Linked DNA regions of Rhinolophus ferrumequinum. The protein of the gene in region 1 interacts with the protein of each later gene in a biochemical or structural test. Links are inferred from orthologs where the notes say so. Each region holds a gene or a part of one and is shown on either strand. Other genes may lie near its edges.

Region 1 (7,945 bases):
GTCAATCCTTACACAATACACAAAGGAGCTTTGCCGAGTGCTTACCACAGAGTAAACGCAGCACAGGTTGGCTGTTGCTCCAAGTTGAATGAACAAGCATCTGTGGCTTGAGGTGGAGATGGAGGTGAGCTGAGAAAGGAAATATGCTTTCCCAGAGCCCTTAGGCAGTTTTGGCCAAAGCTGGGGGGCTTAAAGTGAGGGGTAGTGAGGGTGGCTGATGAGATCAGACAGACAAGGGCACTGATGTCAATTTATCAGAAGGATTTTCAGTGTGGAGGTTAGAAGGCCTGGCAACAGTGGCCAAACAGAAGACTCAGAACGTCACTGAATAGCAGTCAGGGAAGCTGCAGCATGGCAGGTCTACCAGTTCTCCTTCTGACGAGGCGCTGGCAGGTTTGGTGCTGCTGCTGTCGCCCGCAGGACTGCTGTGCACTAAGGCCTTAAAAAGATGGTGCAGACTGTACCAACCTTGATTCTCCAGAAGGTTATCTGTTCCTCAGCAGTTTACCACAGCGTCGCGGCAGCTGGTTGTCTAGCAGCACGTCGTTCGCTGCTCTTGGGTATGTCTGTGTCAGTGTGTCTGAGTGCCTCACTCTTCAGGTCCTGAGCACAGGTCCCAGGCCCAGATCTGAGAACTGGAGGTGAGCACATCTGTGGGCTCACATTCCCTGTCAGTGCTGATGGGAGGGGGGGAGGGGGCCCCGGTGACGAGGGCTAACCATCACCCCGTCCATGCATCCAAATGTATATTTTCCTAAGTATAAAGGAAAATAACTTCTGTGAGGTGTGGGACAGTTGAAGCTTTGCTATGACCATGAAAATCGCGTAAGCAACAATGTGAGCTATTACCTCTCTTTGGTGTTCTTCCTAAATGAAATATGGAATCTCCATCTGCTGCTGCTTCTCACTATTTCTTTGTTACTTTATTACCAGTAAAGCTGTAGGAGATGAAGCCTTAATTTGTTCCAAGCCCCCTTTCGGTACAAAAAGCCATGCACACTCTCCCTCTAAAGCAGTGGAAATTATGCTGTCAATTTATTTCCTAATTTCCCTTGAATTTACCTGTTCATATATTTCTCACCTTTCCTTCACATATTTAATTGGTCTGGCCGGTTTTTATAGCCACATCTAGCAGGGAAGTTTTTTTCTTTTTTCTTTTTCTTTTCTTTCTTTCTTTCTTTCTTTCTTTCTTTCTTTCTTTCTTTCTTTCTTTCTTTCTTTCTTTCTTTCTTTTTTTTTTTTACAGTCTAGTGAAAGATTACAATGTGGTGTAGTCAAATGTATTTTATATTAGCAGGAAGGAACAATCCAAATGTTTTAAAGGTTCTCAAGAGAAAATATTGAGCTAAATGAAATTTTGTATCTGAGCTGGTCCTGCTTTTGGTCTGTGGCTATTAGCTAAATGAGGCTTTTAGGGAGGATGTTTGTATATTTTCTTTCTTTAGATTTCCAGGGATTAAGATGGTCTTGGAGGTGTTGTTTGAAATCAAAGCCCCAGCCTGTGTAGTTATCCTCTCCTTGCAACCTGTCTGATAGTCATCAACCCTTCCCACTGCCCTGCAGCCCCTTCTGGGGCCCAGAACCAATCCCAGTCTCAGGTAGAGGAACTGAAGTAACTCTGGGACGTAGTGTTACCTTTGGGGTTGATTTGACCTTGATCTTGTGCCTTGATTCTAAAATTGGACACATCTCTTATTCCTGAGTTTCAGTCCTTGCCTCACCGGGGGAAATGGACCCCTGTCTTGGCACCCCGGGTCTGAGTCTCTGTGTCCAAGGATTTTTCCAGCACTTGGGCCCTCTAGGATGCAGAGCTTGCCTGAACTGGCCAGGCCTCCTCTCAGGTCCAAAGTCCTTTTCTTGCACCGTGGCTTGGCGGCAAAGGGTCTTCCTTCCTGCAGACTGACCTCCCCATGTGGTCTGCCTTCCTCCCCAGTTGCTCAAGGAGTCCCTGTTGCTAGGGTCTATTTTTGTTTCCCCTCACATTCCTCAACTCCCTGGTGGACCACCTGTTACCATCTCTCTTTGCTGGTTTCTTGTCTGCTAGAGTCCATGCTCTGCCTATGGTAAGGGACTTTGCCCCAGCATCTGTAGCTGGCAGTGTCCCTGAAGGCTTGCCACATCCTAGGCTGCCCTTCTCATTGTAATTCACAAGCCCTGTTGGTCTTGAGATGGGAGGATTGGTGCTCCTCACGGTCAAAAAGTTTAAGGACTTGATTGCTTTCGAGTCTATTTGTACTAACTCAGACCCTTCCCTGGCCTCTTAGATATAGGCTTTCCTTATGATGCTATCAGAATCCTGGCTCCAAAGTCAGGATCTTTCAAACTAAAGAGTTTCTATATGGCCATAGGGACAGGTCTCTGTCCTTTTCAAAAAACCAGTTTGTAATGGAACACTTCCATGAAAATTCCTCTGGCTGGTCACATACCAGTCTTAGTTTCCTTGCCTTGTCTCCTATCCCCTAGGCTCTGAGTGTTAACCCTGATTCCAGTGTTCTTCCCATCCAGAGCTGACCCATAACTGTGACATCTGATCCAACTCCATGTTTGCTTCATGGTCCTGGTTTGTGCATGCTGTCTGTATGACGTCCAGCACTTCAACACCGTACTTCCTGATTTGAGGTTTGATCCTTCTGTCCTCGCTTGGCCAACGAATAGAAACTTTAGCTCTCTATCAAACTGGTTAAAACATTATCTCCAAGCCTCTTATTTTGCTATCTTCCCTTTCCCAAGTCAGGCATACAGACTTCCAATCTCTTCGTGACCATCTCCCTGAACTGTATCTGCAGCCTTGACCTGTCTCCTGAGTTCTGTGCTCTTCATTCTAGCAAATGGCCTCACCATGCTTCCTATAACCCAAGCTAGAAACCTCAGATTTACTGTTGAGCCAGATCAAAAAGAGAGATCCTTATAGTTAGCACCAAGGCCTGGGGCCATCTCAGAAATAGGATGTGGCCCTCAGTTCTGCACAGGAGGTATTTCATCTTGTCAGTCAGCTCATAGACCTCAAGAAATCAACTTACACAAACTAAACTCACACGGGATGAATTTTCAACCCAGAATTCTGATTTGTACTTTTATAATGGGGGATTCTACTTTCCCTTTGTTGGAATCTTCCAGTTCACAATCCACAGTCCACTCTTCCAGAAATTAAGAAGATGAGTTATCAGAAGGTTCCCTGGTAGGGATAGACTCAGAACCAACGAGTGGAGTTCTCTTGAGAGATTTTCATCATAAACACGTCAGAATAACCTGAGAGTATGCTTCTGCAGAGTATGCTTCTGCAGAGTATGCTTTCCAACAAACACAAAGAGGAATCTACTTTGTACACTTCATATGAATGAGAGAATTGTCATCAACTCATCCACATGGACAGTGGAATGATGGATGTTGAAGCTAGAGCATCCTTACATTCATTCATGAGAGTGAAGCAGCTAGTGGTACTTACCTAGTACCACGTACTCTTGTGAAACACACACACACACACTCTCTCTCATTTAATCCTTACAACTCAGTGCATAGATGTTGTATGTCCCTGTTGTGGGTTGAATTATGATCCCCAAAAAGATACATACAAGTCCTAACCCCAGGTAACTAATAAGGTAAATGTGACCTTATTTGGAAATAGCATCTTGGCAGATGTAATAAGTTAAGAGGAGGTCACACTGGATTAAGATGAGCCCTAAGCTGAATAACTGGTGTTCTTTTAAGAAGAGAAGACATTGTGACACCGAATACATATTGGGAAGACAATGTGAAGACACAGAATGAAAACACCATGTGATAGAGTCAAGATTAGGGTGATGCCTCCACAAGCCAAGGAATACCAAGATTGCTGGTAACCACCAGAAATTAGAAGAGGCAAGAAGAAAATTCTTCCCTCCCTAGGGCCTTTGAAGGAAGCATGCCCCTGCTAACACCTTGATTTCAGACTTCTAGCCTCCAGAACGGTGAGAGAATAAATTTCTGTTGTTTTAAGCCACTCAAATTGTAGTACTCTGTTAAGGCAGGCCTAGGAAATTAATACAATCTCCATTTCACCAATGAAGTAATGGGTGCTCAAAAATGCAAATTCACCCAAAAGTAAGTGCTTAGAACTCTGTGACTCCAAACACTTGAACACTTGCTTGTTGATCTGACCCATTAGGTAGGGGTTCTCTTTCTCCTCTATCAAAATCATCTTCCCAATGGATTATATAATAACATCAGCATTTCCCAAGTAAAGTTGTGTAGAACATTAATCCTGTGGGATAATAGAATGTGTTAATGTGCAAAAAAAGTTTTTAGGGTCAAAAAAGAGAGGCATCCTATGTATAAATCAGCCTTTCTTTTTCCCTGCAGGACCCCTAATGGAGCCTTTAACATGCATTATAAATCTCCAAAAGGAGGGATAGTAGAACTTGCTGTGTTTCTCAGGCTGATTTGAACATGGAAGTCTTTTCTTTTACAGAGAACATCGTATGGAACTCATATGCTACGGAAGATACTTCGGGAAATGCTGAATTAAAGAAAGAAAGCTTTTCTTTTTTTTTGACATCATTTACAAGCCAACCATGTTTTCTGAGTTACATCTTCACATAGGTCTCTGAAGGAGAATTGAAAAACATCCATACTGCATCAGAAATATATTTATGAACCATCCCTTTGGGTAGGTTAATGTAACTAATGTTTCACCATACCCCTTTTATTCTTTATTGTGCGGATTCTCGCAGTGTCTTCTAGTCCACATCCATTAGAAACATGCCTGTATTGGAACAAAGTTGGGTGTATTGATTTGTTGTACCAAGGGAGAATGCACACCTTGGGAAACTCAGAACGAAGATATGAGGAATTATTAGAGGATTTGTGCTTGTGTTAAGTAATTTGGGGATGAGATTCAAGGAAGCAGGAATTTCCAGGAACAAAAATGGTTATTAGTTCTCATAATAGACTCTGAAAAACAGGGACCTAGACTATCACACCCAAATAATGAAAAGATGGCCCCCAGAATTTACCTGTTTTTTTCTAGACATCGAGGAAGTTTCCCCCACCCCTACCCCAGTCTCGAGCTGTTCTGTAGTATTTATACAGGTTCTATAAGAAGTGCTTACTTCAGCATATATTTCTCTTTGGCTAGCTAAGAAGAAATTAAGAATTATGTCATTATGCATGACAACTCTGCCTAATAAATTTACATTTAAACCTGGGCTTTATCATAGATAAAGCCAGACACTAGTTAAAGTGAGAAGGACAGATTTTAATCAATAATATACTATTGCAATAGAGAAAAGAATCCAACATGAACTGAACTCAACTTCAATTTTTATGGAGGTAACAGGACATTTTCAAGGGAGAAAGAGGGGATGAAAAGGTGCTCAGTAGAAAATTCCAAAAAGTTGGAAGGGAAGCTTGGTCTATGTGAAATGCATCTGGGTTTGCTAACTGGCACTTACAGAGGGTTAGCCTCCTACCTTCTTACAGAGGCTGGTAGACAGGGGCCCTTTCTTCAGGTGTTGGTTCAAACAAAGAGTAAATTCTTTTGACAGACTTGAGTTATCTCAGGCTATGTTAAAAAGGGGAGGTTAGGGTCATCCTAGAGATGTGGACTTGAGCCATTAAGAACGATGTTAGTGTTTTATTAGGCCCAGGTGGAAACCTAGTTGGGAAGAGGGCTCACAGGAGCCTGGCTAGAGTTTGATCAGGGAGAGAATATTGTCAGCTTCCAGAGAAGTTGTATACTTTGTGACTTTTGCCAGGGTCGGAGACAAGTTTTGCATAGTCCTTTCTTATTGCTCTCTCAGCTCTGGTAGTAGTTGCTTGCACAGTCTGTGTGGGGACAGAGTCCCAGAGAGCCGTTTCCAGGCTCTCAGCCTCATGTGGAAAGGTGCTGGCTCGGGTGGTGGATGGCTGTCAGCTGTAACCAGTTAGCCAGTTGGCCACTGATAGAACTTCCACGGCTGCGTTGGTTAGTGAATCGGTTGATTGGCAGGCAGAGAATCGGACAGCAGGTTGCGGATTGTGTGAATCCAGCCTCCAGTGAGACTATAGTGGTATGACTGCCCTAACTATGGCTCCGTGGGTGTTCCTTTTTGTCCTAGCCACACCCTGCGTTCTTATGTGGGGAGCAGGACCAGAGACCCTGCAGGCCACCCCGCACGACAAATGGCGGAGCGAGCAGGGTCTCCAGCATGACAGTCTGCATGCATGGGAGTTAGTTATGCTTCCCAAGTGTTCTCTCAGTTAGCCTGTGCTTACCTTTTTCTAAGGTTTCTGTGTATTCTTTTTAGGGAAACAGGATTCGCTGGAGGGAGTAATAATTCAAACCTTTGAAATTCTCTAACAATTATCCTGAATACACAGGCTAAGTTAGCGTGTGGCGGGTGGGTGTAAACCTGGTGTCCAAATAAATAAGAAGTATCCTAGTGAGGCAAGGACTGTGTTGGTATTGGGAATTTAAGAATCATTGATCACAACAGGCCTTCTCTTTATGTGAGCCTCTGTAGGGGTTGCAGGAGTGGGGGGGCCACTGGAGGTGGATAAATTCCTTGGGGGAGTCAAACATGTCCTGCAAAGCAGGCTGGAATATCTCTGAAGAAAACAAAGAAACTATTTTTAATCTAAAATAGGCCCCACCTTTGTTCCCACTCCTAACGGCTTAGGTCTTCTGGTGAAGACCTCAGCAGAAGTATTTTGCTGATGGGGTTCACTGTAAAATTGTTAACAGACTGAAGTTTGGGATTAATTATACAAGGGGAACTTAAATATCAGAAGGGATATGTAGAAGAAAATTTACCTTTTGAAGTGGTTTTTCTTCTTTTTTTTAAGTTATTAAATTTTGTCAGCAATCAGTTGACTTCAGAACAGTAGCTATGGTCTGAGAAAACCACAACAGATATTTTTTTTTCTTAAGTGGCAGAAGACCATAATGGGTCACAGGATAAAGAGAAGGGAGATCATTTTAGTTAATAGAGGGAGCGAAAGTACAGTGATGGACAAGATGAGTAGTGAAGGGAAAGAAAAAGCGTGCTAAAGAATCAGAAAATTAATTTTGTTCTGTCGTGTGGGAAAGCTGTCTGCTTCTGCAGTCAGTAGTTTGCTCTGCTATTTTGGGCAGAAGCTGTCCACATCTGTAAATCAACAGCTTCCGGAGAATTTCTAAAAATCTTCAGTTTGAGGTCTTTCAAAGGAATGAACTTCCAGTAGTTGACAGGAAGTATGTATGTCTTTTAGTTGGGAAACATGAATCCAAAGATTAAAATATTGGAATCTTAATACTGTGCCAGTTGTTAAAAGTACCAATAAGGTCCTTTCCATCAGGTTCAAGAGAAGTTATTCTCTGATGTCTTTTCCAGAATATCAAATATCTAGGTTTCACATCACACCAAGGCCATTTTGGAAGATATTTTGGAAATGCAGCTCTCCTGCAGATATCACATTAGATTGCAATAAGGTAGGATCAAAAATTGGAAATAATTCCCACATGCATAAGACAACCTGTTATTTACTCAGAAGGATTTAATTTGTGGGTCCTAGAGGAGATTGCTCTTATTACCTGCCATCAAGGTCAGTAGAAATACTTGAGACATTAGATGTTTGAGTGTTGTAGATTCCATCAGTTCTTGTTACTTTCTTTGTTGTTTGTGCATAAGGACAAAGATGTTTCTAAATAAAAGGGAAATGCTTACAGTTCTTTATTGACTGTATATCAGTGAAATGTGTGTCTTTTTTACTGGAGAGACAAGTTGGGATTACAAAATGAAGTGATTTTTTTCCCTACTACTACAGCCAGCGCTCTTCAGCAAGGAAAAGCTTTTAACGGACTCTGAGAATCAGCAATAACCAGAACACATTCATAGACCTTTTAGAGATGTTCAAAGGAGCCTTAAGGCTGTGGTTGTCTATGTCCTACCTGCAGTCTCGCTAGCATTGTGTTGATGGAGGGTAGGGCAAGCATCGAAACATCCTTTAG
Region 2 (8,601 bases), on another chromosome or scaffold:
AATTCCTATGCAACAAATGTGAAAATCATTTAACCAACATGTGAACCAGAGACGCCCAGTTCCCCCCAATCAGACTTGGGACCTCAAACTGTTATTACCTTGATAAGGGTCCGGCTGCTCGCTGCACAAAAGCGAAAGCTTGGGAGACTAGGTTAGTGTATTCAAAATGTCAGCACTCTGGGAGGATGGCGGACTTCTGTCCAAAGGCCATCCCCCCAACTCCCAGCATGGCCAAAAGGTTTTATAGGCAGGTAAGGAGACGCAGAACCAAGGAAAGTGGAAGTTGGTCAGGCACTTCCCAGAGGCTGCTTTGTTTCAGGGATAGGAGTGGATCTTATACAGACATGAGAACTTCTTTCAAGTCATTGAACCAGGTATGCATAGGGTCAGAAGTAAACAGAATCATAAAAACTGGTATGCATAGTAAATATATAGTAAACAGTCATTAAGGTTTGGTGGGAGGGGAGGGAAGCAAAGAAAACTTTCAAAAAGTCCCAAGCTAAACTACACTACTAAATCAAATTCCCCTAGAAGTTTAAATCTCAAAATAGAAGATATAGTGTCACCGTTACAAGATGACCTGAGAGTATCAGTTCTTCAACCTCTTCTCCTTCAGAGCAGCTTATCAAAACATCCCGATTCTGTCCTTGCAGCTTCTTTCCCGCCACACTAACTGCCATTGATCCAAATAGCTAAGCATCTACTCTCTGCCAGGTGTTGTTCTGGGAGCTGGGATCACAGCACGTACCACAAAAGACAAGATCCCTGCGCTCTTGAAGCTAAACATCTGGCAAAGGTGGTATATACAAAGTAAACAAGATGACTTCTGAAGATAGAGGCTACACATGAAGAGATACGGCGGTGGGGTGGAGGAGGGAGGGCCCTTCCTGGGGAGGTAACCCTTTAATTCAAACCCAAGTGCCAAGAAGGAGCCAGGCGTCTAAGCTCCAGGATCTATCATACCTGGTGGGCTGAACAGAACAACTGCGATCGTCAGTCTCAACCCCTTTTTTTATAGATGAGTAAATCGAGGCCCGATGAGATTAAAAGACGGGACCAGGTCTCCTGATGGACCGCAAGGCTGTTTCTCCCACTATCCTCAGAGCCTTCAGATACACACATTTGAGACGTACGCACGGGTGTGTTTATACTCAAACACATAAGTATGATTTCATTTTCAGTGCAGCCTTTAGCAAAAGAGGAGAGGCTTCGATAGATGATGAAATGGAGGCTACAGCTGGCGAAGTGATTTGTCTAATAGCCTGTCGCTGAAAACTGAATCAAACCCCAGGTTATTTGCAATCCACCCCCATGTTATTTCTTCTGTGTAGCCAGTGGTCTATGAACGTAAGACATCATTCCTAGCAACTTCATAGTTGATGGTGCAAAGAACATGCAAAAGAGTCAAAGATAAGAACAATTTACTTAGTCATAACATACAAACTCAAAGTCCCTGAGTTATTTGCTGCAGGAAAGAACATGTGACCCCAGGTAACTAGACAACCATGACCTGACACAATCAGTGCGTCCGACTTTGGGACACAGTAATGAGAGCATGTGGGTGCAACACTGCAGGGACTAAAACTAAGAAGGAATGTGTCCTCAAGAAGCCAGCCCAGACCAGGATTCTCCTTGGTGGGTGAGTCCTTAGAAGAAAGTCTCATGTGAGTCCCTTGATCCCTCTGCTTAGGAAAGAAGCTGCTAGTTGGTTACCAACCTGCACACAAGAGAACCATCTCGGTGAGTGCTAAAAAGAAAACAACCCAGATTTTTCCGACCTACGCGAGACCCAAAGAACTAGAGAATCCAAAGGGTAAAGCCTGGAGGTCTACGTTTTAAAATTCAGCCAGCCTAGAAATCACTGTTTCTCCTCATTTCTCCGTGCTATGACGTAATGAAAAGAGGAGCAATGCCTGTGTTCATTATCCAGAAAGTTAAGCTACGTTGCATCCTTTAAGACAACCTCTAACACCCAAAGCCCTTGCGTAGTGGGACGGCGCTGTATCTCGTGACCTGTGAGGTCTGTCGTCTCACTCCCTTTGGCTGCATATCAAAGCCGCATACAACCCTGGGAAGATTTTTCTGAGGATCGTCCCCAATTCCTTGGTGAAGCAGACCCTCTCCTGCCAAGGGTTGGGGCATCTCCAACAGAGAGAATCTTGGAGAGAGGTCAATCTCTCACCCCACCCCCCACCACCACCAAAGGGGCCTGGCTCCTCCCCCGTGAGCCTGGCTTATGCTCTGAACAGCCAGCTACTGCTTAGAAAAGGAAAGGGGAAAGGAAGAAGGTGCTTCAGGCCCAGGTGGGACACAGTCAGCTCTTACCTGGGTCTAGAAGAGGAGCGGCTCGTACTGGGGAATTTACTGTCTGCTGGCAAGCTGTAGTCTTGAAACTCACTGGACTTTGAACGAGGATTGATTTAAAAGCTGATGTATTTAACAGAGACGCATGGTCTGAGTTGAAGTGACCTCTGTCCGGCTTCCTGCCAGCTAGCTCAGCCCTGAGCTGGACAAACCCCAAAAGCCCTCAGCAAACCCAACGCACTGGCCCACCGGCCTATCTGTGCGGGATGCCAGCCCCTCCCAGAAAGGAGGAGGGTGGAGAACAGGGGAAGGACAGCCTCTGCCTTCCTTGGTTCCCTCCCTTCAGCAGATGCCACGGTCACAGCCTTAGGAGCCTCCACTATCTTCCATCCCAAGGTCAGGACTGAGGCTCACCTGAGCATCCCCACCCACTGAGGTCTTCCCGAGGAGCAGGAACCTGTGCGACGCCCACCAATAGAAGGCCAGGAGGCCGAGAAGCCCAGTGAAGGGAGCAAAGCCCCTCCCGTGCCCATCCTTTCTCCTGTCTGCGAGGGAGTTCTCGCTGGCTCCCTAGGAGTAAAGCCCGGGCTCTTACGTCCCAGGTCCCTTTCTCTTGTTAAGTGCTCTCTCTCTCTCACCTGAGCGTGCTCTGCTTCTCTTCTCAGTTGTCTTCCCCTTCCACAGTTACGGCCTCTCCAGCAAGCCCCGCCGGACAGGTGGGAGGCACTTGCACGCGCTCCTCTCAGCCCGGCCACCTGGGCAGTGTGGGGGCGCCCCGCGCTCGGCTCAGCACCCCAGCCGGGACCAGCAGCTGATCCGTATCAGCGGCACCCACACAGGCAAACCCAGCACCCGGCTCCTCACTGACCTGGATCCTCAGCCCACACTGGAAACCAGGGCAAGAGATGGCTTTAGGCTGTGAGGCAGAGCGACCCACTGGCCGAGCAGGGGGTGGCCTCTCCCTCCACCCCCATGCTGCAAGGGCCATTTGTTTCCGCTGGGCTTTGGCTGCCTCCAACAAAGGCATGGCCCAAGCCAGAGGGTCCATGGTGGAAGATGACAAACAGCTGAGCAGCTAACTCAGGTCACCTCCACCTGGTGCTGTGGCCCCCTGGGCTCCCTGTGTGTCTTCCAAAGTAGAAAGGAGGAATGGGGAGAATCTGGATTTCAGATCTAAACACCTGGGTTCACATTCTGACTGCCATTTCCCAGGTGCTTGATCTAGATGTTTCTCCCTCTGAGTCTCACTTAGCTTCATCCTCTGTAAATACTCCTTATTACGTTGTTTTTAGAAGTTTCCTTTTTTTTATATCGAGTCAAAAAGAGCTCTCACTCCTGCCCACAGGTTCTGATGGCTCCCTCTGAGATGAACTGAGTCTACTCTGTAGCTATATAGCAGTCCTTCAAATACTGTGGGGCTGATGTATCCCCCATAAGCCTCAGTCCTGAAGGTGGTCTGCCTGTGCCAAGGCTTCAGGACTTCTCTCCCTGGACCCAGTCGATTTGTCAATGTCCCTCTTAAAATCAAGGACCTTGAGGGGAAACTTTGTTTTTCTTAACCTTTTTTAAAATTTTTTCGGGGTTTTCTTTGTTGTAATGCCAGGTGAGAGAATTGTTCTATATCTTGAGTGTCGGGTGGCTCTGCAGTTCACTGTCTACAAGTACAGAATTTCACCAACCTGTACCCCTAGACTAGGTGAATTATAGTGTATGTAAATAATGCTATCATTTTTTAAATGAAGGAGCCCCAGTAGTAAAATCTATTCTTGAGCCTTCTGAAATTTAAAAAAAAAGTTGAATGACAGAAGAAAAAAATAAATAAATAGATAACCCTTACAGTGAAGCTTCCACTCCAGCCCCAGTCGAGAGGATTCTCAGACTCGCCCTCCATCCCAGCACAGATGGAACCGCCACCAGCCTTCAGACTGGACATAGAGAGGCCTTCGAAATGCAAAACACAGTGTTGATTCAAAATTACATGGAAATGAGCGATTTTTTTTAAAATGACAAAAACCCTACCCCGGTGAAACACTGAACGGAAGGCGATTTGCCCCCCCACTAAAATTTGGATTTAAAAATCTCATGCCTGTAAGTGGATTTGATCTGATTAACGCAAAGCAGAGTAAGTCTTTTTATAGATGACTCAGATCTAGACATTAAGGAGAAGGGGAAATAAGATTACCTAGCCTGGTAAATCTTCATAGCCATTATTCTGTTATAATGGGGATATCGGCTCAGCATGACCCCAGGAGACGATATCCCCATTATACAGATAAGAACACTGAAATTCATCTGACTAGTTATCGTGTCCAAGGTCATCTGGCTCAGAAAGATTCAGGAGCCTGTCCCTCTCCTTAGGCAGTGTTGTTCCACCCACCATTCAGGGAGGGAGTGTGTTTTTTTTTCCCTGGAGGTATTCAAGCAAAGGCTGAGGATCTGTGTCACGTTACAGAAGGATGTTCTGCCTTGTTAGGAATAGGGGATTTTGGGGGGTCCCTTACAATTCTAAGATTCTGTGATCCTAAATACCTTGGGTCCTAAGGCAAGCCCGTGAAGGTGGATGGTGTAAGTCCTGGTGAGGGTCTAGAAAGCATGTAAAGCTATGAGCATGGATTTTGGCATCAAACAGATAATGTATTGAATCCTAAATCTGCCATTAATAGTTTTGTAGTTTTGTGGGAATTTTTTTACTGTGAGCTCAAGTTTATTTGGGCTTTATCTCTGGGAACCCTTGGCAGGCTGGGTGGAGGGTTTTCTTTGGGTTTTGTCAGCCAGCACCTCTCTATAACCCTAGAATAATGAGAAGACACTAACACCCTGGGGCCAATTTATGTTAATTACTTGTCTTAGTGTTTCTAGATCATGCAAATAATTAATGTCAGTTACAACCCCAGCCCCCCCTAAAGGGCAGATCTGTGGTTGGAAATTTGCAGGAGAGAATTCCTTTTTTTCCCATAGTCCAGGTCAACAGATTGTTTCCTCATTATCCCTGATCTGTTTTTCCCATAAACATATCCTCTTTTATCATACTGATATATGTTTATTATTTTCTGTCTCTCCCCCACCAGAATATAAATTCCCCAGGGTCAGAGATCTGTATTTGTTTTGTCACGGTATCCCAAGTGTCTGGCATATAAGCCTAGCTTATAGTAAGCTTTCAAAAATGTTACTGAATCAATAAGTGAATAAATGAATCTCCTTTTGCCAACAGGATTGGTTTTCAGCTCATGCTTTCACTGAGAACGTAGCTTTTGAGGATTTCAGTTCTGTGGAGGGTCTCAATTCTGAGGTCTTACCTCCTGTCCCAAAGTGACCGTGTGAAAACAAACTGCTAGGTTACTGGTTTCAGCTTTCACTTCACTTCTGGACCTTATAGATTTCTTTCCTTTCTTTCAAGTTCAACTATCTATTTGGAAAAAAAAACTGTTTGATATATTTTACCCAGTTTTTCTATGAACTTTGAAGAGGGAGGGTTTTCAGATGACCTAGTCTGCCATGTTTGCGGAAGTGGTTCTACCATTTGCCTCTCAAAACTCTGGCTTTTTCTTCTGTAAAATATAGATAATACTAACAACCTCATAAGATTTCTTGGAGACTTAAGTAAGAAGACATTTTTACATCACCCAGAGCCAGGTAAATGCTCAGTACATAATCGTGTTACTAATGTTTTTGCAAGAATAAGCCTTCTTAATTTATGGGCACACATTGTACAGACAGGCTCCTGGAAATAAACAGGCTAGAAGTACAGTGGGCAACTCGGGAGCTCAGGATGTTTGGGGCATTGTGGTAGTGTTCTTGCCCACTCACAACACAGCGTTTTGTGCAAGTGGTCAGACACAGAAAACTGGAAACACTTGCCAATTCTCCCCAATATTTTCCCCACCGTGTCACACAGAGAAATTGATAATAATTGTACAGTTCACTAGGGTAAATAGCTGAGGCTTTTCAAGGCTGGAGTGACCGAAGGCCAGCTGCCGCAGGCTCTGCCCAGACCCCCCAAAGATTGAGGGGAATAGTACTTGAGCATACACTTAGAAAACTATAAAACATTGTTGAGAGCCACTCAAGAAAACTTAAGTAAATGAAGATGAGTGATACCATATCCGTGGATTGAAACTTCAACACTGTAAAGACATCAGTCCTCTCCACATTGATCTACAGATGAATGTATCGCCAATCAAACTCCCCACTGGGTTTTTTCTGTGATTTTTTTTGTTGTTGTTATTTGTTTGTTTTTTGGTGGAATTTGACAAGCTAGTTCTGAAAAGTAAGAATAAGGAAGGAGTTGCTCTGCTGGGTAACAGGACAGTAGAGTGACAGTAATTACTACAATATGGCATGGGCATGAGATAGACAAATGGACCGATGGAATAGACTAGACAGCCCCACAACAGACCCGTTCAAATAAAACGGTTGACTTCTGACAAAAAACAGAGGGAAAGGTTGGTGTTTTTTCAATAAATTGTTCTGGTGTATTCCTTTTAGGTGTGTTTTACTTCATTCAATAATTACCTTTGTGAGAGTATCCACGTTGCTGCGTGCAGTTGTTTTCATTCTGGGATTCTGTTTACATAATGTCCAAATACCAGGCAGAACTTGGGAGATGCCTGCTTAGGTGGTAACACGCTGTCCTGACTTCTGGGGTGCTGGCAAGATTCTAGCTCTTGAGCTGAGATGTGGTTACACGGGTGTTTATGACTGAGCTATGTAGTTTAGTTTTATGCCCTTTTCTGTACATATATTGTATCTGATAATTGAGGGTAATAAATATTTTAAAAGCTATGATATGTGTATAGCATACTGGGGTCAATAGAAGAAGCTCTCTGATGCTGGAAGTGACATACCTGGGGGTTTCAGCTGTGCTCAGCCCTACCTGGCTTATTCAAAATTGGAAGAGATCAATATCTTGGCACTGGCGTACCTTGGCACCCTGGTCAGGAATCTTTGATCCAGTATTTGTCTTTTTGTGACTGGCTTATTTCATTTAGCAAATGTCTTCCAGGCGCATCCATGTTGTAGCCTGTGTAAGAATTTCCTTCCTTTATAAGGCAAAATAATATTCCGTTGTATGGACACCACATTTGATTTATCCATTCATCTAGCCATGAATCGGATCCTTCCACCTTTTGGCTATTGTGAATAATGCTGCTGTGAACATGGCTGTACAATATCTGTTCGAATCCCTGCTTTCAATTCTTTGAGATATGTCCCCAGAAGTGGAATTGCTGGGGAATTCCATATGGAATTGCTGGGGAAATCCATATGGAATTCCAGTGGAATTGCATATGGTAATTTTATGTTTGGAGGGGGCTGAGGAATTTCCATACTGTTTTCTACAGAGTCTGCCCCATTTTACATTCCCACCAACAACACACAAGAGTTCCAATTTCTCCACAGCCTCACCAACACTTATTATTTTCTGTTTTGTTTTGTTTTGTTTTTATGATGGTCACCCTACTGGCTGTGAGGTGACATCTCATTGTAGTTTTGATTTGCATTTCCCTAAAGATGAATAATGTTGAGCATCTTTTCATGGGCCCGTTGACCTTTCGTATGTCTTCTTTAGCGAAATGTTTCTTCGAGTCCTTTGCCCATTTTTAAATCAGGTTGTTTGATTTTTTTGTTGTTGAGTTGTACCACCTCAATTTTTTGACTAGGAAATAAAGAACTAGAGAGGTGAAGTGACTTGGCCAGGGTCACTCAAGTTCATAGCAGAGCCATGGCTAAAACCCTGTGCCTTTACTTCCAAGGTCAGTGCCCTTTCTACTACACCAGTCTTCCAGGCTGGGTACAAGATTCCAGCCTCCACCCTTCATGTTTGACATCCCAAAATTTTTATTCCTATTTCAGATCTGATTGTCCCAGTATTACCTTGTCTTTTGAGTAGCTCATTAACTTACTTGGAGCCGGGCATTTTAAGCTCCAGTGGTTTTCTGTCCCTGTCCTGAGCCCATGTTTATGACAATTCCCCCTTTCATTCCCCATGTTGCTCTGGCCTCATCCACCACCTGAAGAAAAAGTCTGCGTGCCGTTGGAGAAATTTATTAAGCCGGGGTCCATATGCAGACCTGAGATACATGTGCTACAGCCATGCAAGGAGATGGGCATGAGAAAGGGCAAAGCCACTCTTCTCTGTTGCTTCACGAGTGTGGCCCCACATGACTGCAGAGCTAGTTTTTTTTTTTTTTTCCAAAAACGAGGTGGCAGGTCAGGGGGGCCTGAGGGCCCTTGCAGGGCTGTGAATTATTAACACTTGCAAGCTTTAGTCTCCCTCTTCGCAGCTCAGGGAGGAGAATA
Region 3 (7,685 bases), on another chromosome or scaffold:
ACTCCCAACATGTCAGAGCAAGAAAGACAGCAGACACCATCTTGCCCAACCTCTCTTGCGATACATGGTGACACTGAGGCCAGAGAGGACACAGGTTGTGCTAAGGGCACACTTGGAGATACTGGCAGAGCAGGGGCTAGACCCTAAATCTCCAGGTGCTCTTTTGATTAAAGCAAGCGGCCAAGGCTACTGATGTTTGGCCACCCATCCCCTTCCCCAGCAGAGCTCCTGGGCAAAAGGCAAGCTTCCCCCTTCAGAATACTTCATGAACCCTCATTCTACATCTCCTTCTGTGTCCCCACAAGCCCAATTCTTCATATGGTCAGAAGGAGTCAAAGACCTAATCCATTTTCTACCAAGGGGCATTTGATCCTGAACCCTCCATGTTTCCCAGTGGAAAGGACCAGGGTAGGATCTGGCTGGCTAGGTGTCAGAAGCCAAGCCAGGGGCGGGACAGGAGCAGAGTAGACAAGATTCCCCACGAGGGAGGAGCTGATGCCCGTGGACTGACGGGCAGCAGAGTCCATGGCCTTCAACATCTAGTAGCCATGGGAAGAGATGCAAGGGAAGGGGTCAGAATGCAGGGTTACTCTGACCAGCCCACAGAGGTGGCCTCCCAGACAAGATATACTTGTGGCCACTGTCATACTTCTGGACAGACAAGTAGCACCTGCTCCCTGACTCCCACTCTCATCATCCCCACGAATGGAGAAGCCCTCTTGCCTCTCTCCCCAGGTAACCTGGCACCCATCCCACATCTTTCTCTGGCTGAGTTGCCCCTTTCCTGACCCCAGGTCTCCTTTGAAGAGCAGAGCTGGGAATCCAGGATGAGGGCTCCTCCAAATGCCCTGCTCTGCTTTCCTCCTCCCACACAGCTTTGGCTTCCAGAGGCAGAAAGGTGGAGAGGGGGAGAGGGCTGGCTAGTCATGCCTCCACCTTTCCTGGGTCTGGTCATGGAACTTTATGCCGTGCAGCCCTAGGAGTTGGGGGGAGGACTCCAGCTGCAGCCCCACTCTGGTCCCTGATCCCAGGAGGAAGAACTGATGACTCTTCAGAGTCCCCAAACCGACACAGCTGCCTGAAATACCATGTGAAAGAAACACAGGCAAAAGGACACTCATGCAGCTCTTGCATGCATCTGGGGTACCATGTGTACCCACATGTGATAAGCCATGCTTCAAGCCCAGTACCACTGACATCCAGAGGATCCAGCTGCCACTGGTCCACCCTCCCACTGCCCCCCTCAGGGACCCTGCTCCCAGGACCAGGAGCCATCCAGGGATCAGCCCTGGCAGACAAACCTTGGCCAACTGGTCCAGCCTTGGAACTGTCACTCATCTCTCAGTTGATCGGGACAAGCATGAGAGAGTGTTTGCAAGGGTAGTGCCCCATGATAGAGAGGAAAAGGAGACACGGGGACTCGCTGCAGAGGGCAAGGGGCCAAGGCAAGGGACACGGGATGCAGTCAGTGTAGACAGACAGAAGACCAGAACCCAGGACCCCTCTCTGCAGGAAGTCCTCACCTTTGCTTCTGAGTGAGAGCACATCCTATCCCCAGAGGAGGACAGAGGCAGCCAGAATGGTCACCAGCTTGGGGCCATCAGCACCTGCCCTCAACAGCAAACCCTCCTTCTCTCCCCCTACCCTGGGTGCTGCAGAGCTGAATAACCAGACAGGCCCTCCGCCATGCGTGCCAGGGACCTGGCTCTGCCGGCCCAGCCTCCATTTTGCTGCTTCTCCCACAGATGCTTCTTCCATTTTCTAAGCTGGCAGTTTAGGCTGGGAGTGGAAGCCAGAGTTGTGCCCAGCACCCAGGGGTTCCCAAGCTGTGCCAAGTCAGGCCTGGGGGGCCAAGCTCTTCCACATCTGGGGGGACCCAAGGGGCACATGCCCCACTGGGGCCAGTCCCTGCACCAGGGCACCATGCCTGCTCTGGAGCGAGGAAGCTGGCTTCAACCCCCCCCCCCCCCAGCACACACTTCAGAGCTGCTTGGACAAAAGAGTCCGTCCTCAGTCTCTCAGCCTTGCTTGGGACGTGTCTCTCTCCTCCTCCCCCTCCCCTCTGTTGCCTGTCAAGAGCCTCTAACCAGGGACACCACACACACACACACACACACACACACACACACACACACAGGCACATGCTCACACACATACATGGAGCCACACACACAGGCACACAGAGACACCTCCACCTTCAGAGACACGGCCTCACACCGTCCATGTGCCCATTCACACACAAAGGGACTGGGACGGAGAGGGACTCCTGGCAGGGAGGGAGGACGCTCAGGGAGCCTGGCACATGGGCTCTACATAGATTCAAAGGAGCACCATTGCCTTCCTCCACACACCTCAACGCACACGTCCCCCTACGCAGAACACCGTGCCCCCTCCTCCCCTGCCGTGGAGACACACCACACACAGCCCCCGCAGAACCTCCCGCCCCCTGCCAGACACAGAGACACTGCTAAACCCCCACACTGAGACAGCCCAATTCCCCCGCACAGGAAAATGTGCCCCTCCGCCATACCTTCACCCCCTGACACAGACAGTTCCTCCCAACCCCCTCCAAATGGAGACCCCCAAACAGACACACACAAGGAAGCACACATTTCCCACCGCCTCTCCTGGTCCGGCTTGCAGCCCCAGGAAGCCCTACTGCACCCCAGGCCTCTCGGCCCCCACTCCCCAGCCCCTTGGGGTTGCCCCAACGACCCCCCCAGCTCCGCTGATCCATACCTGCTCATACCAGTCTCGGTTGGTACAGGTGCACTCTGGCCACCAACTGGGGCCGCTGCCGTTGAGTTTGGGGGTGCTCTTGCCCGGGACTGGCTTAGGGGGCACTGGCCCCACATCGCGGCCGGTGGGGATGAGCTTGGCCTTGGTGCGGGGGGTAGGGGTGGCCCCCGCCTGCGAGGGCAGGGTCTGCGAGCTGTAGCCCCCATAAACTGTGCTGGCTCCATTGCCTCCACCTGGCCCGTAGGGGTCGGGCACCTGCCAGTCCCCGTAGCCGGGAGGCTCCAGGCGCCGCAGGGCGGCCAGGCGGGTCACCTCGTAGCACTCGGGGCACTTACAGCAGTGCTGGTGCTTGTGCATAGCACTGCCCCCCGCGGCCCGGACCCCCCAGCCCACGCCGCTTTCCACGCCGCCGCCGCCGCCGGCGCCGGGCTCCCGGGCACACTCACACTGCTCGGACCAGGAAGGGGGGGGGACCCGTGGGGGCGCCCGGGCGGACCGGGGCCTGGGGCCGGGCGGGCGTCCTGGGGCCTCTGCCCCAACGCTGCCCCGCACCCACGGCTCCCCCTCCAGCACTGGCGGCTCCGTGTCGCCCGTAATGGCTTCTGGGCCGAGGCCCAGCGGCAAACAAGAAGCGGGAGTCTGGGCAGAGGATGGGTGCTGCGAGGACCGCTCCTGCACTGGTCCCCAGGATGGATCTGAGTGGAGTCAAGAGCATCTCTCCCTGGCTCCCGTCTCAGTTGATTCCAGCCAATCAGCGTGCAGAGTCGGGCAGCGGCAGCGGCAGCGGTAGGAATGCTAAACAGCGGCTCCTTAAAGGAACAGGGGCAGTGGATCCCCAGGCTCAGCCCCAACCCCCCAGATGGCTGAGGTACCGCTGACCCTAGGGCGGTCGCATGGGACTTGGGCCACGCGTGAACTCAGTCCCCAATCTCGTGTCCTCATACCCCCAATTTCAGCGCATCCTCCGCCCACTCCACCCCACCCCACTTCCCAGAGGGAGTTGCAGGGGGACGCTCAGTGGGTCCCCGGGCGTGCTCTGAGCTGGGGCCACCAGAAGTAAAGATTTGAGGCAGCACAACGGACGAAGGGACGGTGGGGAAGTGCTCTCTCCTAACAGGGGATAAGGGAAGAGGGCGGCTTACGAGGCTGCTCTCCTGTCGGGGGCCCCCTCCTCAGGACTATTGTTCTCTCAACCTCTAGGCCCTGAAATGCTGTCAGCCTCCCACTCGACCTGCTTCCATCACCAGTGAAGGACTTAAGCCTAGGACCGGAGGGAAGGAAAGCTCTAGGCTCTTGTCCCTGGCCCACAGACTCCTGTCTCCCCCCAGCCCCACTCCCGCACAGTTAGGTTGAAGGAAAGCGCTTCAGGATGCCAAGAGGAAAGAGAGACCAGGGCAGGAGGAAAAAGGCAGGAAGAGGTCTGAAGTAAGAGGAACCATTCCTGGGGTCTGCAGAAGAACTTGGGATACTTGCCCAAGGACATCCCCTTAGCTGCTCCTGGCTCAGCCTGCTGGGGGATGGAAGGAGGATGGCATGCTGGGAGGATTCTATCTTTTTGCTCTTCTTTTTTTTTTTTTAACTACAGTTGACATACAATATTATATTGGTTTCAGATGTACAGCATAGTGGTTAGACATTTCTGACTACAAAGTGATCCCCCCGATTAGTACTCACCTGGCACCATACATACTTATTACAACATCATTGACTATGTTCCCTATGCTGTACTTTACGTCCCCGTGACTACTTTGTAACTACCAATTTGTACTTCTTAATCCCTTCACCTTTTCTACCCAGCCCCCCAACTCCCTCCCATCTGGTAACCATCAGTTTCCTCTGTGTTTCTGTGAGTTTTGCTGTCCTTGTTTTGTCATCAGCTACCAATTATTGAGTCTTTACAAAGTCCTAAATGCTTTGCATGCAGACAAAAACCCTACCAAGGTGCCACTATTATTACCCTATTTTTACCAACGAGAAATCGAGGCTCAGAGCTGTTAACACAGCTAGGTACCACAGCAGGAGGTGACAGAATCAGGATGCAAATCCTGGCCATTTGCCTCCAGAGTCCATGCTCTGAACCACTTCAGTACAACAGAACTTAGATCTCACTTCAGTTCAACAATCATTGCACACCTACTCTGTGCAAGACCTTGACCTAGGTCCTAGGGATACAGAAATTCATTCTTAATTCAACAAATATTCATTGAGCACCTGTTATGTGCCAGAAACTGTTCTAGGATTTGGGGATATTGCAGAAAACAGAACAAAACACAACAAATCCCTGCCCTTGGGGAGCTTACATTCTAGTGAGAGAACACAGACAAAACTGAGCACAATAAATAAATGAATCACACAGTATATATGATGAGAAGTGCTGCGGAAAAAAAGAAAAAAGTAGAGTCAACAACTGGTAAATGTCTTGTTATATTTGCTCTATCGATCGACCTACACTTCTTTCTGAACCATTCAAATGTAAGTTCCAGATTTCATTTCACTTCTCTAAATACTTCAGCATGCATCTTGTTGGAATGAAGACATTCTCCTACATAACCACAATATTATTATGACATCAAAGAAAATAAGCAATATTTCATATCACCTAATATCATCTAATATCCAGTTCTATATTCAAATTTCCCCCAATTTGCCTTTTATATTTTTTAACATCACAAACTAATCAAGGTTCTCAAATTACATTTGTGTCTTTAGCTACTTTTAATCTAAGCAGCCTCAATCTTAAAAAACAAATACTTTTTATTTAAAAATAATTATAGATTTACAAGGAAGTTGCATAGATAGTACAGAGGGGGCCTGTATACCCTTCACCCAGCTTCCCTCAATGATTGCATCTTCCATAATTATTGTACAAAATCAAAATCAGGAAATTGACATCGGTTCGATGTGTGTATAGTACTATGCCATTTTACCACATATGGAGATTTCTGTAACAACCATCGCAATCAAGATACAGAACCATTTTATCACCACCAAGATCTACTTGTGTCATTTCATCAAGTTGAGGAAAGAAGAAACTTGACCTCCCTTTAAGTCTCTTTCCTCTGTCCCATTTATAGTATGATTATCTTCAATATTTCCACTACATGTATTGAACTCCACATCAATGGTGTTATACTTATTGCTTCAATCATCAAACATAATTTAGACAGCTCAAGAGGAAAAGGAAAGTCTATGTGCTTACAGTTTAATTCATTCTATTATTTCTTCCCTCCTGATGTTCTAAGATTTCTACTTTGATAGCTCCTTTCTGTTTTGAAAACTGCTTTTAACCGTTTTTTTTTAGGGTGGATCTGCTGGCAATATATTCTCTTAGCTTTCCTTTGTTTGAGGATATCTTGATTTCCCTCTCATTTCCGAGGCTATATTCACTAGATATAGCATTCAAGGTTGGCAGTTCTTTTCTTTCAACACTTGAAATAAATTGTGCCACTTCCTTCTGGCCTCCATGGTTTCCGATGAGAAATCCACTGATATTTGAATTGTTTTTCTCCTGTAGGTAAGGTGTTGTTTCTTTCTTGCTGCTTTCAAGATTTTCTGTTTGTCTTGTTTTCAAACGTTTGATTGTAATGTGTCTTGGCATGGATTTCTTTGAAATTATCCTATTTGGGATAATTTCAGCTTCTTGAATCTGTAGGTTTATGTTTTTTGCCAAATTAGGGAAATTTTCAGCCATTGTTTCTTGAGGACTTTTTCATCCCCACCCTCTTTCTCTTCTCCTGGGACTCTGATGACACAAATGTTAGGTCTTTTGTTATAGTCCCACATGTCTGAGGCTCTGTGTTTTTTTTGTTGTTTGTTTGTTTTTTAAGTCTATTTTCCCACTATTCAGATTGGGTAATTTCTAATGTTCTATTTTCAAGTTCTCTGATTCTTTCCTCCGTCCTCTTCCACCCTGCTGGTGAGTCCATCCACTGAATTTTTTAGTTCGGTTATGGCATTCATCTGTTCTAAAATTTCTATTTGATTCTTCATGATATCTCCTATTTCTTTGCTAAGACTTCCTATTTTTTTTTTTTTTTTTTCAACCTGTGTGTAACTGCTCACTGAAGCACAACGTTTCTTTTTAACGTTGACCACTTTAGAATCCTTTTCAGATCATTGAAAGCTCTCTGTCATCTTGGTGTTGGAATCTGTTATTTCTCATTCAGTTGAGAGTCTCCTGGTTCCTCGTATGAAGAGAGATTTTTTATTGCATCCTAGACATTTTTGGCTATTATATTATAAAATTCTGGAACTTATTTAAATCTTTGTTTTTGGTAGACTTCTTCTGACACTGTAGCCATCAGTGGAAGGGCCACTGCCAGGTAGGGACAGAATTTCAAGTTCTCCCCTCCATGTCAGTTGATACCTCAAATGGGGGCTCTTCCTTACTGCTGGGCAGGGTGGGAGTTCCAGCTCTCCACCGATACGTGGGAGAGGTTGAGGTACCTCCTTCCTGATCCCCAGGTGGCTTCCACTGACCATGGGTGGGGGCGAGGGTGATTAAGGAGTAGGGGAGGGAGGGGAGGAGGGAGAGGGCAGGGACAAAAGTCCTGACTCTTCACTAGGCCTCCTCTGACACCACCCAGTGGGGAGGGGAGGCCTTGTTGCTCTGTGGGGATGGAAGCCCAGGCTCCCTATTAGACCTTCTCTGACACCACCCCAGAGAACATGGGGGAGCTTGATGAAAGTCTGAATTTCTACTTGGCCTTTGCTGGTGTGTGTAGGGATGCAGTTTTTTCTGTGATGTTTGGTTGCAGTAGAGTGGTTATTATCTAACAGTTTTCTCTCTGGCTACGCTGTCCATTTCCTGGTCTTTTGGCTAGAGAGAGCAGGCTTTTATTGAGGCTTTTTTTGGTTGGTGCCCACAGGATTTCCAGGCTGCTCACTTTTCTGGAACCCAGTCTGGGACATAGGAGACAACAAGAAAATGCAGGGAACTCACCACC
Region 4 (7,546 bases), on another chromosome or scaffold:
ATTTTTTTCTTTTGATTTTTTAAATTAGTTTCAGGTGTACAAAGCAACATAATAGTTAGACATTTAAACCTCTCATAAAGTGATGTCCCTCCCCCAAGGTACGACCCCTCTGACATCTTATATAGCTGTTCAATACCATTGACTATCTTCCCTATGTTGTATTCTACATCCCGTGACTATATATATATATACCTATATATTTAGTTATAGTTGACATTCAATATTATTCTACTTCAGCTTCAGGTGTACAGCACATTGGACACAGTCTATGAAATGATCCCCTGATAAGTCCAATGCCCATCTGACATCTTACATGATTTTTACAACATTGTTGATTATATTCCCCATACTGTATTAACTACAAATTTGTATTTCTTAATACCTTCACCTTTTTCACCCTGCCCCCAACCCTATTCCCTTCTATCACCCTCATAGATCTAGTACCTATCTGGCACCATACCTGTTATTACAATATTATTGACTATATTCTTTATGCTATACCCTACATCCCCATGACTACTGTGTAACAACCAATTTGTACTTCTTAATCCCTTCCCCTTTCACCCGTCCTTAACCCCCACTCCCATCTTAAAGAAGTCCCTCTAAGATTCCTTGTAATACTGGTTTGGTGGTGATGAGCTCCTTCAGCTTTTTCTTGTCTGGGAAGCTCCTTATTTGTCCTTCAATTCTAAATGATAACTTTGCTGGGTAGAGTAATTTTGGTTGTAGGTCCTTGCTTTTCATCACTTGGAATATTTCCTGCCATTCCCTTTTTGCCTGCAAAGTTTCTGTTGAGAAATCAGCTGCCAGTCTTATGGGGGCTCCCTTGTATGTAACTAACTGCTTTTTTCTTGCTGCTTTTAAGATTCTCTCTTTGTCTTTATCTTTTGGCATTTTAATTATGATGTGTCTTGGTGTTGGCCTCTTTGGGTTTATCTTTGGGACTCTCTGTGCTGTCTGGGCTCATACGTCTATTTCCTTCACCAGGTTAGGGAAGTTTTCTGTCATTATTTTTTCAAATAGGTTTTCAATTCCTTGCTCTCTGTCTTCTCCTTCTGGTACCCCTATAATATGAATGTTGGTATGCTTGATACTGTCCCGGAGTCCCCTTAAACTCTCCTCAATTTTTTGGATTCTTTTTTCTTTTTGCTGTTTTGGTTGGGTGTTCTCTACTATCTCATCTTCTACATGACTGGTTGGATCCTCTGCTTCATCTAAGCTACTGTTGGTTCCCCGTAATATACTCTTCATTACCATTATTGCATCCTTTATTTCTGACTGGTTCTTTTTCATGGTTTCCATCTGTATTTTTATGCTTCCTATTTTTCTGTTGAAGTTCTTCCTGAGATCATTGAGCATTCTTATAACCAGTGTTTGGAATTCTGCATCTGATAGATTGCTTATCTCTGTTTCACTTAGTTCTTTTCCTGGAGCTTTGTTCTGTTCTTTTATTTGGGACATGTTTTTTTTTTTTCCCTCCCCATTTTGGCTGCCTCCCTGTGTTTATTTCTAAGTATTAGGTAGGGCTGCTATGTCTTCCAGTCTTAGTAGAGTGGCCTTATGTAGTAGGTGTGCTGTGGGGTTCAGTGGCGCAGTCTTTCTGGTCACCTGAGCCGTGCACTCCAGGTGTGTCCCTTGTGTGGGTTGTGTGTGCCCTCCTCTTGTAGTTGAGTCTTGGTTGATAATTGTGTATCAATGGGAGGGACTGACCCTTGGGCTCACTGGTTGTGAGGACTGGCCTTGACTACAGTGGAAGAGTTGTTGTGTAGGGGCTGATCCTATGGAGCAGGATCTGCCTCAGCAGGACTCTGGTGCCTACCAAATCCGGCACTTGGGTGTGTCATACTCAGAGGCGGATGGGTAATGCCCCAGCTTGTTTTGAAGCTGCCCACTGGGGGCACCAGACCCAGGGCCATTTTGGAGGGGATCTGCTGTAGGTCAAGTTCAGCCAAAGCCTGTGCCCCACCCAGGGCCACCTGGCAGGAGCCACAAAGAAATCCACAGATGGCTGCTACCCATGCTGTGCTTGGAAGCGCCTTGAGAAGCCAAGCCACAATCCAAGGCCAGCTGCCGCTAGTGCCGCACTTAGGGCTGCTCAGCCAGAGGTACAGGATACGCTCAAGCCAGATGCTTCTTGTCTGGGTTCCATGGTCCTTTGAGAGACCCTAGGAAAGTCTGCAGCTTGAGCCAAGACAGGTGGTCTACACAAAAAAGCCACTGGAAGCAGCCTGGGTGTGCCCAAAAGTTGGGCAGGGTTGGGTCTCGAATTGCCCGTGAGTGGCAAACAACAGCAGACTCAGATATGGTGGCCGCCTGCATCTGCACTCGGGGAAGGGGGAGGGCTCAGCAAAGACACAACGGTCTCCACCAGTTCCCCCGTGCAGGAGAAAACTGCCTCTCTAGCCCCTCTCCCAAGCCAGACAACTCAGTTCCCCACCAAATGTCCCTGAGACCTCTCCAGCTGCTGCCCTAGCACTGGAGCTCAGAAGGAGTGATTCATTAGTGGGTAAGTCTGTACATGGTCCGTTTAAGAGGAGCACCTGAGAGTGCAGCCGCTCTCCATCTCACTCAGTCACAATCTCCGCTGGTTTTCACAACCAAAAATTATGGGGACTTCTCTCCCCAGCACTGGAACCCTGGGCTGGGGTGGGGCTGGGACCTCTTGCTCCTCTGGGGGCTGGGGGGACCCCCACAGCTGAAATAACCCCCCTGATCTTTAATGGTCACACACGGATGTGGGACCAGCCCATTCCACATCTCTGCCCTTCCTACCCATCTGGAGGTGGCTTCTTCTGCACATCTTTAGTTGAAAGCCTTCAGTTCAGCTTGATTTTAGGTGATTCTCAATAATGGTAGTTTTGTAGATTAGTTGTAATTTTGATGTGGTTGTGAGAGAAGGTAAGCACAGCGTTTATATTGCACCATCTTTGTTGTCTCTCACAACTCATATTTTTTTAATGCTTACTATGTGCAGGAATTAGGCTAAGCAGTTAGCCAGTATTATTTATTTCTCATAATAATCTTGGGGATAGTAATTTTAATATAGTATTCTCATTTTATAGATTATGAAATGGAACGTTAGGGGTTAAATAAGTCACCCAGAACCACATAGATAGAAAGTGGCACAGTGAGAATTTGAATACAGAAAATCAGAAACCAAAGCCCATGCTCTTAACCACCAAGGGATCCTGCCTCTCAGTGGACTGTATGTTCTATGAGGCAAGATACTAACTATCTTGTTTACAACTGAATCCCTACATCCAGCACTGTGTCTGGCACATAGAAGTTGTTCAATAAATATTGTTGAATGAATGAATGGATTGTAAACTCAGCTTTTGCTGCTATGTGGCCTGCAGAAAGGAGAAGCAGGAGGGATATGGGCTTGGAAGCCAGACAAACCAAGGTTAAACTAGAGGTCTCTTCTTACTAGTGGTGTGCCTCAATTTCCTCATCTATAAAATGGGGACAATATACAGGCTATGCAGGATTTATGTGAGATTTAAATGACAATGTATGTAAACCAGCCAGTTCATGTGTCAACATACAGCAGACTGAATAAAAGGCATCTATGTATTATATGTGCATGTGCACATATAATACATATATGTTATGTAGGTGGCCTCAGGGGGATTTTAGTAGTATAGAACCATTTCCCTCTTGTTGGACACTTGGATTCATCTCTGGTTATTGACTTAAACTCAAGGCCTGTCCTTGGAGTCCAGTGGTCCTCTATACGTAGCCCCGCCCCGAGGTTCAAAGCCTTGCACCAAGATCCATGTCTCTTTTTCTTATGCTCCTAAAAGCGTGAGTTACGGTCCAGGCCCTCGACGGCCTTGCTCAGCAGTCTCCACGATTGGATGCTAGGGCTCTGCCCCAGGCACTAAGGCCTCTGCCCTCGCCCCTCCTCTCCCCGCCAGCTCCCGCACCTCACTGATCCCTATCCTTACTTAGCGGCCTGGCCCGGACGCCGGTATGGTCCCACCCGCAAAGTAGTCCCGCACTACACATCTTTCGGCTCCTGGACTCCGCCCCAGAGTCCCGCTATCTTGCCTTCGGCCACACCTCCTAGATAGCCCCGCCCCTCGAGGCTCCACCCCCCCAGTCGCCCGGGGTAGGGTGGCGGCTGTCCCAGCCGGGCCCCCTGCGCCCTCTGCCCTGGGTGCTGGCTCGAAGCGGGCCAGACACTGCGGAGCAGGGCGAACGCGGCGGCCCGGGGGCTCCAAGGCGAAGATGGCGTCAGGCAGGCGCGCCCCGCGCACCGGGCTGCTGGAACTGCGCACCGCGGCGAACTCCGGGGCCGGCGGCGAGCGGTGGCAGAGGGTGCTGCTCAGTCTGGCGGAGGACGCGCTGACCGTGAGCCCCGCCGACGGCGATGCCGGCCCGGAGCCCGGCGCCCAGCGGGACCCGGAGCCCGCGCAGCTCAACGGCTCCGCGGAATCAGGCACCGCGCCCCCGCAGCTGCCGGAGACGCTGCTGCTCCAGCGGCGCCGTGTGACTGTGCGCAAGGCCGACGCCGGCGGGCTGGGCATCAGTATCAAAGGTGAGGTGAGCGAGGAGGCACTGAGGGCATAGGGTCTTGGTGTCTTGGTGTCTGTGGGCCTCCGAGGGACCAGGGCTCGCGGCGTCTGGCAGCATACCAAGGACACAGAATTGGAGGACTTCTGTCTGGGGGAAAGGTGGTTTAAGGGGACAGAGGGAACCGAGGGCACCCGGAGCACCAAGGTCGGAGATGGGTTCGAGAGTCGGAGGTCTCCGTCGAAAGGCACAGGTGTGGAAGGGTTTGAGGGGCGCACCAAGGACACGTGGGTAGGGAGTTCTGTGTAGAGGCATAGAGATCTGAGAGGGGCTGCGTGGGCATCAAGGAAAAGGGGAACCCCAGGAAAGCAAAGGGTGGCGAAAGGCGATTGAGGCCTGGGGCGCCACTAGGGCAAGGAGGGGGAAGTCTCTGAGACGACCAAGGTAGGGGATAGGGCCTGGAGTTCAAAGCGCAGGGAGGGATTGGAGATGAGGCGTCTGCTGTGCTCATGTACAGGGGTCCAGAAAGGATCTAGAAATCTGAGGACTCAGGAAAGCTGTGTACTTAGGCAGAGCCGCGTTTCAGTTTACTGACCACCTTGCCCAGGATTGAGAGGGGTGGACATAGAGTTGTTACTCCTTTTTGAGAGCTCTCAGCCCCCAATATTGACAGCTTTTTTTAGGGTGCAACCAGACTGTGCTTGAGTCCAGGATCAACTGTGTGAATGTAGACAAGTCATTTCCCATCACTGGACCTCAGATTTCTTAACTACTATATTGTGAAGCTAATGATAGAGTTGTGATGTTTTTATGAGAACAGGAGTCTAAAGTACTCACCCTGCCATCACATAGTAAGTGCCTAGTTAATTATTGCTGTTAGATGAGAGGGAAAATGGAGGCCAGGAAAGCAACTAACCATATTGCTTAAAATCTCTGCCCCCATTCCCCCCAACGGCTGTTGAGTTCACCATTCCTACCCATTTACTTCTCTCAGTGTCTCAGCCCCCAGCCGAGTGCTATCTGCCTTGGGAGGGGGTGTCAGCCCTTGTATCTTCCTGGATATGCACTGTTCTCTCTTCCTGGTGCTGGTTCTGTTTTTGGTACCTCCAGACCCTTTGACTTGGGCGAGGGGGTGGGGATAGTGATGACTTGGCTACCACTGTGTGCCATGTGTTATGCTCAGTACTCTGGGCTCACGATTCACTTTATCCTGGCAACAAGTGGTAAAAGGTAGGGAACATAAACCTTGTTTTACAGCTGAACGTACTGAGACTCAGAAAAAAAATGATTTTCCAAGGATCACACAGTTAGTGAATGGCAGAGCTGGGATTTGAACCTCAATTATCAGGCCACTGGAGAGTGCCTAGGGAAGTCAATTCTTCCCCGTGGAAGGGCAAATCTCCATGCAGCCAACGAAAGGGATCTAAAAGAGGGAAATGGGTAAGCCAGGGAGTGGGCACCAGTCTTGCCCCAAAACTCCAGCGTAGGATAGGGCAACAGATCAAATCTGGAAATTGTACACTCAATGTGTCAAAGCAGGAAGGAACTTAGAGTTCATACAGAGCTCCATTTTGCAGATGGACAAACTGAGACTTGGAGAGGAGCAGAGACTTTCCAAGGTCATATAAAGTTATACCCTAGCTCCATACTTCCAGGTGGGGGTGAAGGTACTTTTAGGAGGCGTCAAGGGAGGTACCAGCTCCATTCAATTCTTCATGTATGGAAACCAGGCTCTTGTTACCATGATGACCTCCCCCTCTAGGGTCCAGCCCAGTCCAGGCAGCTAGGAATGCACTAAAGTCCCCAGTTTCAGGCAGAACAAGGCAGATATAAATAGAAATCCCTTCCTTTCCTAGTCCGTAAGCTCTGCAGTGCAAGAAGCAAATTGTTGGTCCTGTGTGGGGGTCACAAGAGGTTTCTTTCCAGTCCTACCTCTGCCACCAATTTGTTATGTGACCTTGAAATAATGATCTACTTTTTCTGGGCCAGTAGTACTTCATCTTTAATATTTTGGGAATGGACAAGTAGTGTGATATCTGAGGGTCCAACTTGCCGTCTTCCATAGGGTGAAGAGTACTGGTTCTGAAGCCAGGAAACCTCAGTTCACATACATACTGGCTTTGCCACTTAAATAGCTGGATGACCTTGGACAAGGGGCTTCTATCCATACTTCAATTTTCCTGATGGGAAACTGAGCCTGCCTGTGTGATTGGGGTGTTGTGAAGATGCGATGAGACACCACTGACAACATTTAACACATTGCTTGGCACTTGGTACATGGAACTAATGTGAACTGTTATTACTATTTCTTATTTTAAAAGGTTATTCAAGAGTTTAGCAATAAAGCAATTGGGTAAAATGTATTAGATTTTTATGCATCAGAGATGAAATTCAGGCAGGCTTTTGAAATCTCTAGACTTTTAAGGCTTGGTTTCCAGCCTGGATCCTGGATTATAAAATTTTCTGATTGCTAATGAGATCCCTTGGAGCCATATCAAGAGCTGACTTTTATTGTAATGCCGGATTAGGGAGGTATCCCCACTATGGCAAAATTGCTTCAAGTCCAAAATATTTAAGAAAAAGCTAGTGAAGCACCTTGTAAATAACTCAAACACTGGTAAACATCCAAAGCATTGAACCAAAAGATCCAGTGACCAAACTATAACAGTATGAATTTAGAAAATGACTTATTAGTATTATTAGTGTCCCAAGCTTCTAAGACTGCTGAGATTCTCTTTATCTTCCCATTCCCTCTTTCTCAGCACTGGGCTGGGTACCGAGGGAGGCCTTCAAAAATAACTTTGCCTTGATGTGACTCCTAAGTATTGGAGTGTCCGCCTCAGTTCTTTTCTCTTTCTGTGCCTTCGCAGGGGGCCGGGAGAACAAGATGCCTATTCTCATTTCCAAGATCTTCAAGGGCCTGGCAGCTGACCAGACGGAGGCCCTCTTTGTCGGGGATGCCATCCTGTCCGTGAATGGGGAAGACCTTTCCACTGCCACCCATGATGAGGCAGTGCAGGTTCTGAAGAAG

Evidence for each region.
Region 2: the proteins of CYSLTR2 (region 1) and PDZK1 interact in a test that uses a peptide from one of them, tested with the Homo sapiens proteins (2 studies listed by IntAct, with this or other methods). The link is inferred for Rhinolophus ferrumequinum from reciprocal best matches to the Homo sapiens genes CYSLTR2 and PDZK1.
Region 3: the proteins of CYSLTR2 (region 1) and DLG3 interact in a test that uses a peptide from one of them, tested with the Homo sapiens proteins (2 studies listed by IntAct, with this or other methods). The link is inferred for Rhinolophus ferrumequinum from reciprocal best matches to the Homo sapiens genes CYSLTR2 and DLG3.
Region 4: the proteins of CYSLTR2 (region 1) and SNTA1 interact in a test that uses a peptide from one of them, tested with the Homo sapiens proteins (2 studies listed by IntAct, with this or other methods). The link is inferred for Rhinolophus ferrumequinum from reciprocal best matches to the Homo sapiens genes CYSLTR2 and SNTA1.

Annotation. Positions count from the first base shown.
Region 1 is NC_046287.1:88,775,432-88,783,376, reverse strand, and holds the start of CYSLTR2 (cysteinyl leukotriene receptor 2), read left to right. Parts: upstream 1-4,467; 5' UTR 4,468-4,628; coding exon 4,629-4,645; intron 4,646-7,945. UniProt on the Homo sapiens protein: Receptor for cysteinyl leukotrienes. The response is mediated via a G-protein that activates a phosphatidylinositol-calcium second messenger system.
Region 2 is NC_046305.1:49,993,506-50,002,106, forward strand, and holds the start of PDZK1 (Na(+)/H(+) exchange regulatory cofactor NHE-RF3), read right to left. Parts: upstream 3,110-8,601; 5' UTR 2,943-3,109; intron 2,556-2,942; exon of another isoform or gene 2,326-2,555; intron 1-2,325. UniProt on the Homo sapiens protein: A scaffold protein that connects plasma membrane proteins and regulatory components, regulating their surface expression in epithelial cells apical domains.
Region 3 is NC_046284.1:2,238,265-2,245,949, forward strand, and holds the start of DLG3 (disks large homolog 3), read right to left. Parts: upstream 3,453-7,685; 5' UTR 3,097-3,452; coding exon 2,740-3,096; intron 1-2,739. UniProt on the Homo sapiens protein: Required for learning most likely through its role in synaptic plasticity following NMDA receptor signaling.
Region 4 is NC_046306.1:21,487,602-21,495,147, forward strand, and holds the start of SNTA1 (alpha-1-syntrophin), read left to right. Parts: upstream 1-4,090; 5' UTR 4,091-4,230; coding exon 4,231-4,540; intron 4,541-7,385; coding exon 7,386-7,546. UniProt on the Homo sapiens protein: Adapter protein that binds to and probably organizes the subcellular localization of a variety of membrane proteins. May link various receptors to the actin cytoskeleton and the extracellular matrix via the dystrophin glycoprotein complex.